2 linked regions of the Oryzias latipes genome follow. Each later gene encodes a partner of the first gene's protein in a complex. Links are inferred from orthologs where the notes say so. Each region holds a gene or a part of one and is shown in the gene's direction. Other genes may lie near its edges. The genes, in order: espl1 and pttg1.

Region 1 (3,817 bases):
TGCCAAGAGACACAGCCCAAGAGCGTTACAACACTCTCTGTGATCTCCTGGACATCTGTAATGAGGAAAGTTCTCACAGCCATCGCCGTGCTCTCTACCTCTGTGAAATGGCTCAGGTTGTGTGCTTCCAGGACTTTGGAGAACACACCGACTGGTAAGAGCGTTTCTATGTATTTTCCATAATTTACTAATCAATACTTGGTAGAATGTCTTTTTCATTTTATGCCTTGTGCCCCTATGTTCACACCATGGGAATGAAACTGATCCTCTCTGGCCATGTTTGCTGGGCACTAAAATGATGGAAATCTCAATGGTTTCCTTTGTGTCCACACAGTGCTGCAGTTGATTTCACGCGTGAAGCTCTGCGTCTGCTTGGAGACGAGGTCGAGACTCCGGAGAACTCTGACAGACTGAAGGATGACAAAGCCCACGCTGAACTTTGGCTTTTTATCTGCAGTTTGGAGAAACATCTTCAAGAGGTGATCCGCCTTTGATCATCTGAATTTTCATCATTCTCTTTGTATTTCTCCTAAGCAATCATTGAGCAAATTTTGTTAAATATCTTTTGGTGACTAATTGAGATTTTAAAGTCCCGCTCTGATTATTTTTTTTGATCTATTTTCAAAGTGTTCCCAGTGGTTTTGAAATACGTTTTTAGCCAAAATCCAATAACTTGCGGCGTTTCCTAGGACATAGTTTCTGCAGAGAAGCAGAAGTTCATTAGAAATGCACCTCTGAGTTGTGGGCGGGACTTCAGGCACAGTAGTAAGCCTCTGCTTATGGCACGATGCGATATTAGTGATCAATATTGCGATGACAAAATAACTTGTGATACATGGAAAAATAGCAAAACAACCAAAAATATTTTTATTTCACTGCAGCATTTTAATTTAAATAAGAGTCGACATAACTTAAATTACACTCTAAATCAGTGGTCACCAACCTTTTTAACGCCACTGACCGGTATGACGTCACACTCAGTTTACGCGGACCGGATATTACCATGTAGGCGGATGATTATGTCAGTGTTTTTCAACCAGTGTGCCGTGGCACACTGGTGTGCCTTGGGAGATGGTCAAGTGTGCCGTGGAGAAATTGCCCTCATTCACTGATCTAAAAACATTTCCCATCTCCAGGATATCAGCTCTTTGTTCATCCAAACAGGCCCTGATAAAACACTGAGGAGTTAGGAATATCAAAGATCTTAAAATTACTTTTTCTTTGTGTTTATTTAATTCTATTAAAGACATTTTGATAAGGATTACGTTACCGCGATTTACCTGCAGCTATGACAGTTTGCGGAAAAGTCCCGTCCCTTTAACTGTCTCCACCAATCATTCTTGAAGGCTTAATCACATGTCATCAGTCTGACCAATCAGAAGTGCTTAAAGTCTTCACTTCCTTGTTCTTAATTCTGCTGATAGTCGCTCAGTTTTAACAAAAATACCGGCTAAAGCTCTTCTTTAGCGGTGTAGCTTTCCACAGAGTCCGGTGTCAGACCGTGAAACAAGTGGACAATACAATAAATCTCAGAGACGCCAGTCTTTCTGCAAGTTTTCGGCACTTTTCACACTACATCTCCCATGATGCATTGGCTTAAAGAGCCAGTGTCCCAGTGCACAATGAGTTGTCCTTGCGAAACGCCTTGAAACCCCAACAAACAAACAGTTTCTAAATTTTTCTAATTTAACTTTCATTTCATCTCTTAGAAAAAACAGCCGCAACTTCTTGCTTTTCCGGCCACAATTATCACAAAAATACACGTGAGATTGCGGGCGGGCGGGGGGGGGGGGGGGGGGGGGGGGGGGGGCTGTCGATCAATACAGACCATGAATTTCTGTTTTTTTTTTTTTTTTTTTTTTTTTTTGGATGCTGGTGTGCCGCGGGATTTTTGTCAAGGTTAAAGTGTGCCGTGGCTCAAAAAAGGTTGAAAAACACTGGATTATGTTAACAAGACTACGATGAAGGAGGAACAGAGACATAACAAAACAAACTCTGAGCTTTTATTTTGACAAGCATGACATTGTACATTGCTCAGGTCTCATCATCCTCTCCCCTTCCCACACTCGTGGTGCAAAAATGAAGTACTGTCTATCAAATGTAGCTTTCTTTATTTTGGAAGTGGAAGGCTCCTCTTCTGTCTCCTGGCTGGCCCCTTTCCATTTGGCAAAGAAACTTTCCAAAGACGTTTGTTCTTTTACTCATTTTGTTAACTCCTGGGTTTTATTCTAGCGGTAACCTATTACGTGACCGACAAGAGCGCCTTGGCCTACGTCAAGGTGACATAGACGGATGGAACAGAATTGGTCAATTTTTCAAAATAAAACCTCTTTCAGATTCCGAAATAAATAAAATGGATGTAAGTTATTTATTCTTTCTGTGCGGCCCAGTACCAAATGACCCACAGACCGGTACCAGTCCGCGGCCCGGGGGTTGGGAACCACTGCTCTAAATGACCCTCGTCTACATAAGAGGCGAGGATCTAACATAAAAGAGCTTCAAAATAAATAAAAGTGCTCCATCCGATTTGTCAAATGCATTGATGGATTTATTTGATTGGTTGAATATTTCCAGCTGACATAAGATTGTTTTAGCACATTTAAAGTTATAATTTGTTGCGATTTTCGCCGTCTTTTGCGATATTTTATTTAGCATGAAACGACTACAATCTTTTTAAAAAATGTATCTTTGTGGGTTCTTAATTCACCAGGGTTTGAATAAATAAAAACTACAATTTTAATCTGAATTTTCTTTATACATGTCCTCCATCAGAAAATGCAACAAGAACAGGTTAAAAACACAATTTAAAATGGGGTGGGCCTTCAAATTATAATGAATATTATACCATTGATTCAAAAATGAATGCTCAATGGTGAAACCAACCTGCTGGTTTGCCTTAATCTGGATTGCTGTTGAAACTGTTTTTGTCTTTGATCCAGGCCATGGAGAATGAAAGGAAACAGAGGGAGCTGCGTGAACAGACGCCCGGTGTGAACAGTCACATTGGGAACAATGATTTTGATTTTGAAGAGAAGCAGAAGATGCATGACAGCAGTCTGGTCTATGAAGGTCTCCATTTTAACTTGGCTGCAGAGAAAAGTAAGAGTGCTACTTTCATCTATTAATTCATGTAAATGGTCATTTTTACTGAGTAATCTACACGTCGTTCAATAAAAACCATAGCAAACTACAGTAAAATGCAACGGACTACTCTGCAAATAATATCACGTTTAGCTCATATTGTGATCTCAAATTTTCCTATAACCATTTATATGGTTCAAATGTGGAGTCAAATTGAAAATGATGGTTTTTGATTTGAGGGCGTCCCGTTCGTCTCGTTTTAGAGTTGTGCCAGCCGTTGGAAAGAGCTCTGGAAATGTGGTCAGGTCTAATCCAAAGTGGAGCCCAGCCTTCTGTTCGAAATGCTAAACAGACCTGTAGCTCTGTCGCTGTGGCTGCAGCTCTCTTCAGACTCATGGGGAAGGTAAGGAATGACTCCAAACAAAATCATTTTTACTGTCAGTTCCTACTTATGGAATCGCTCCCCTTATAAAAAAAATGGCATTTATCTTTTATTAATAATTTGGGAAAAAAGTCATTATTTTTTAGCTAAATCAAATGTACCAGTAAGTTGTCATTTCCTTCTAAATGTTTTTAAGAGATGATCTATAACTGTCTGAATAAAACCTAAAATTTTACATAAAGTGTTAATTATTGGTTTTATTTATGCTGTCACACATGTAAGAGCCAACAGTTGGGTTGTATTTTAAATGATTGTTTTTCTTGTATGTAGCCGCTAAAGGCTTTGGAAGCGTAC
Region 2 (4,533 bases), on another chromosome or scaffold:
AAGCAAGAGCTCTCCACAAGCTAAAATGAACACAAGCAGCCATTATGTGGCTGAACATAACACAGTGTTGTCCAATACGGTGATGGCTTTAAAGGAGGGAAAAGAAAAACTCTGAGAAGTCATTTTAAAATAACTGTGCAAGCTGGTGGTACTTGGAAGCGGCAGATTGTTTTAAAGGGGCTGAATTGGGGTCAAATAGCTGAAGGTGTGAAGGAAATGAGAGACTAAACACTTTATAAATCGCAGGCATCTTCTCTCAACATAATCTGCTTCATTCATTGGAGCCACAAAGGGATATAAAACTGGACAACCTTGCTATTCTAAGCACTCCCTCTGGACTAAGTGGTTTCCTTTCTCCCTTAAAAAAAAGAGCAGCACACTTTGTCCTAGCATAGCTTTAAAACCGCTTGTTTATATGCATTACTACTAAGTAATAGTAACCAAGAAATATTGTTTACTTTTAGACAACGCCCGTTGAAAGTTAACGGGATTTACATGACAGAACAGAACGGAAATGAACACTGAAGCTGAGCTGAAATGGGGGCGTTCAGAATGAATGGCCTACGGGGGGATTTGTATTGATTAAACCTTTTAAATATACGACATTTTTGTTACGACGGCAATGAAAAACTAATAATTCTACCAGGCGCAGTTTCGTTAATGAGATAATTAAGCTAGCTGTAACCAGCATGGAGATAAAGGCGTTGTTCTCGATTAAGAATACAATACAAAAGCTAAGACCAGGTACTCCTATCTACAATTTTACAAAGGCACAGCTCTAAATGAATATCCAAAGCATATTTGGGGTGTTTTGGTCAATACAGTGACATTACACTGGTTTAGCTATGATGCCGCGAATTTCTGAAAGGCACAAAAAATGCGGGGAGTTCCTTATTAACACCTAATTCCATCTAACATATCCTTGACGCACATTAAACGTAAAACTAATTCATATTTAGGCTGATGGATGCGTTTAAAAGTAAAACAGAAGACTTACAGCTTGCCTTGCTATCTCGGTCGAAGCCATGATGCTTTCTGTTAGCTCTCCCTCAACTGTCCTCTTTCAGCAGCCCTGCTGAACAGTTAACGTTCCTCAGAAAGATGGCCTGTTTGGAATGTACCATTGAATCTACGGAGTTAATCATGTAGAGAACACGTAGCTTTGCTTTTGCGTCTTGATTACAACAATAGGTACTAGGGAAAAAAAGACATATAACTGCAGTTTATCTTTAAGACGGATTTATTTATAGAAAAATAAACACATAAGATAAAGAAAGATGGTGCAGACATGGTTTCGTCCGATAGAACGCTAGTAAATGGAAGTCAGCAAGCAATAAAAAAATAAAATAAAAGGGGAATAATTAGCATGAATAATTATCCAGTTTATGAATATGGGCAATTTTTGTTAGTTTGGTATTGACTAAATGATTATTTTTTTTCGATAATATGCCCAATTCTGTTCATACAACGCTTTGAAATGAGACACGGGTGAAATTAATTCATGCCAGTCACGTGGGGTACAACGACCAATCATAATCACTGCCCAACGACAGTCACGAGGGCTACAACGACCAATGGAATGAAGTGAACGGATTTAAAAACAAAGGTGCGGAAGCTGTTGTAGCTAGATAAAAAACAAAAAGCAGGATAAAGACGATAAAGCCTTCGGATTGAGACCAAGAACTATTGTTCTTTGAGGTTACTAACACTAAGGTAAATAGACGTGAAAGTAACCGTTGGTTTATCATTCCAAGATTTTACGTAAATGGGCAATTTTTTTTAAACCGTACGTTGCACGACAAACTGCTAACGATAATTTTTAAACCGTACGTAACGTTGCATGACAAACAAAGTTAACCGCTAACAATAATGTAGCATTGGACAAATCTCTGCTGTTTACATTATTGTCAGTAAATGTAAATAAATATTTGTTGTCTGAACTAAATTATTCTGAACTTAATCATTTTCCAAATGGGAAATGTATCCATTATTTTGTAAATAATTGCATAGTTGTTAGATGAAAACAAAATGTCTACTTTAGCTTAGTTTAGTTTTGGGCCTGACAATACATAATCTTCTTCTTAATGCTAAACATCAGCACCAATTAGCAGAAAGCCTTTTTGATGTAAAAAAAAAATAAATAAATCCGTAATTGAACCTCAAAATGCCTGAATTGTGGGGAAACAAAATGAGAATAGCCAACTCTGTTAGTCTACTTATGAATTTCAAAGTGCACCTTTTTTTTCCCCCTTTTCTTTCAATAAATTAAGTTATATTTTTATGAATTTGTGTATATAAAACCCCATTTAAAGTAATTGAAAGTTTTTTGAAACCAAATGTTTTTCTTTTTTTACCTTTTAGCCAAGATGGCAAATGTCATCTTCACCGAACAGGAGAATGTTTGCCTCCGTCCCTCTTCCCTGAAAATGCGTCAGAGGCTTCTGTCTGCTCCAGGTATTAAAAACATGTTCAACTGTTTCAGATTATCTTTGTGGAACTCTGCATGATCCTCCTTTTTATTCTCGCTCTCTATAACCAGAAAAACAGTTGAAGTCTCCAATGTTGGTCAAAAATACCCCTGTCCATTCAGCGCGTAAGGCTTTTGGGGTGGTGAACAAAAAGATCTTAACCCCTTCTTTGAGTACACAAGAGAAAAAAGTTTTAAAACCACAGGTAAAAATAAACACTAATGACAAATGGATTTATTTCAGCAAAAGGCTATTCTGTTGTTTCTGTGTGTCCATATTGCCCTTCTTCTCAATAGGAAGTCAAGGTCGAGCATCCTTCTGAAGCCAAAGGGGAGGAATACCCAAAAATGGAAAATTTTATTCCTTACAACCCTCTAGGTAATGTCATGTTTGTTTGGTTTGCAGGCAAATTATGCTTTTAAGAGGTTTTTTTTTTTTTTTTTTAAACCAAGATGTTTAGTAGTTCCACATTTCCGCTGGTCGTGCTGCAGCTGTATGCCATCTGAAAGTCTTTACTGCTAATGTCACATCATTTCATAGCCACCATGTTTACAATATCCACTCTTATCACTGAGCATAATCAACGGGCACAGCGTCTTTCTGCTCATGAGTGGTGGTTGTTCAAGTAAAAGCAACAAAATGTAATGATGTGAAAGAATTGGAAGTGGCTCAGTGGCCTTGTGGTAGTGTCCACTGTGTTAAACGGCTCCCATGTGTGGCTGTGTCTTTTCTGACTTCTTTGGTTTTAAAGGGGCTTATTCACAGTCTGGGAAATTTTTCACCCATTCCTGAGTTTCTTCATATTTTCAGAGTTTGAGAAGTACAGCATACCCGAGGACTTCATTCCTTTCAGTGGCCTGGCTCTACCCGGATTGGCCTGTTTTACCTCGCCTCTTCTTGAGGAAGACCTGGAAAAGATTCAGCCTCTCCCAGACCCTTCACCTGCAAAAGGGTGCAGATTTCCAGGTATGGTTCTCCTTTATACGTCTGATAAATCTCCTATTTTCAGGAGCTTACAGAGGAAATCACTCTGTTGCAACAAAGGGAAATGCAACAGAACGCCACATGGTGCTTTAAATAAGTAATAAATACTAGGAAAAAGTAATCGTGTCATGTTTTTCAAAATTAGACAGAAAATATTTTAACTTTGAGGTTTGCTTTACTGTTAAAACAAAAAACTTCAAACCATTTGTACACAGATCTAGTAACTTTGGAGTCAACATGTTCGTTTTTTTTCTCTTTTCTTTTGGGGATACAAAATAAACTAGTTTGAATTTTCATTTACTCAGCTCTGTTGCAAAGAACCTGTTTGGCTCCTCAGTGCCCTTGGGGAAACACAGACTGGATTCTTGTCGAATGATCCCAAACTGTAACGTAATAGGAAAGCTTTCCCCCTAAACTACAATGCTGTTCCCTGTTACCTGTTAATCCTTTTAGTGTTGAACAGTTCAAACTATGATCAGACCTGTAGGTTACTCATTAACTGAATCATGTGACTTCCAACAAATGCCACTTGTTATGGCTGTTATTGTTGGAAAGTGTGCCTGTTGGCAGGAAAGCCTTCATAAACTCCTCTTCATTTTCCTTTTTAGATCACAGCTTGGAGCTGGATGCCTTCCTACAAACCCTTGAAGAGCTGACTGTTGAATTCCCCCCAGAACCGCTTACTGACTGCTGATGCCTGTTTGTTAAATGGCTGTTTTTATTATTTGTGTTGAAATAAAGTTTTCTTGGCAACATCTGTGGTCCAGAGTGTGTGTGTGTGTGTGATGGAATGGCTGCAAAAGTGTCAGGGGAGTGAACCTGAACTACTTCCTGCTTTAAACTCCAGCTGTGGTCACGTGTTGGGAGTCTTCTGAAGAGGATCTGCTTCATTAGAATGAACTTTTTCAGTTCCCCTTTCAGAGGAAAGATTTCCAGTCTTTGCTCGGAGTGGAAACTACACGGTGGACCTAAATTGCGCCTAAAGACCACCCATCCGCTTTTGCGGGAGTGGAATGCGGTGTGATTGCGGTATAGGAGCAGGTGAGTGAACTTTGCTGTGTCGCTATTTGGATTCTGTGAA

The links.
Region 2: the proteins of espl1 (region 1) and pttg1 are in contact, whole or in part, in a cryo-EM structure (PDB 7NJ1), measured with the Homo sapiens proteins. The link is inferred for Oryzias latipes from reciprocal best matches to the Homo sapiens genes ESPL1 and PTTG1. Residues at the interface, in NP_036423.4 of Homo sapiens: His402, Thr405, Val406, Tyr409, Ser461, Asn462, Tyr465, Tyr468, Arg505, Arg508, Glu512, Glu544, Thr547, Phe548, Arg551, Gln590, Lys593, Ala594, Val595, Arg596, Thr599, Gly600, Arg603, Gln634, Cys637, Tyr638, Trp683, Ile686, Glu690, Ile697; in NP_001269311.1 of Homo sapiens: Tyr111, Pro112, Glu113, Ile114, Glu115, Lys116, Phe117, Phe118, Pro119, Phe120, Asn121, Pro122, Leu123, Phe125, Glu126, Ser127, Phe128, Asp129, Leu130, Pro131, Glu132, Glu133, His134, Gln135, Ile136, Ala137, His138, Leu139, Pro140, Leu141.

What each region holds. Positions count from the first base shown.
Region 1 is NC_019863.2:4,433,142-4,436,958, forward strand, and holds part of espl1 (separin), read left to right. Parts: coding exon 1-154; intron 155-334; coding exon 335-479; intron 480-2,939; coding exon 2,940-3,099; intron 3,100-3,344; coding exon 3,345-3,484; intron 3,485-3,793; coding exon 3,794-3,817. UniProt on the Homo sapiens protein: Caspase-like protease, which plays a central role in the chromosome segregation by cleaving the SCC1/RAD21 subunit of the cohesin complex at the onset of anaphase. During most of the cell cycle, it is inactivated by different mechanisms.
Region 2 is NC_019868.2:9,721,632-9,726,164, forward strand, and holds pttg1 (securin), read left to right. Parts: upstream 1-1,543; 5' UTR 1,544-1,606; exon of another isoform or gene 1,607-1,713; intron 1,714-2,361; 5' UTR 2,362-2,366; coding exon 2,367-2,454; intron 2,455-2,539; coding exon 2,540-2,673; intron 2,674-2,764; coding exon 2,765-2,846; intron 2,847-3,278; coding exon 3,279-3,434; intron 3,435-4,060; coding exon 4,061-4,146; 3' UTR 4,147-4,207; downstream 4,208-4,533. Other genes in the region: sept6 (septin-6), read right to left, coding at 998-1,027; ankyrin repeat domain-containing protein SOWAHD, read left to right, coding at 4,466-4,493. UniProt on the Homo sapiens protein: Regulatory protein, which plays a central role in chromosome stability, in the p53/TP53 pathway, and DNA repair. Probably acts by blocking the action of key proteins.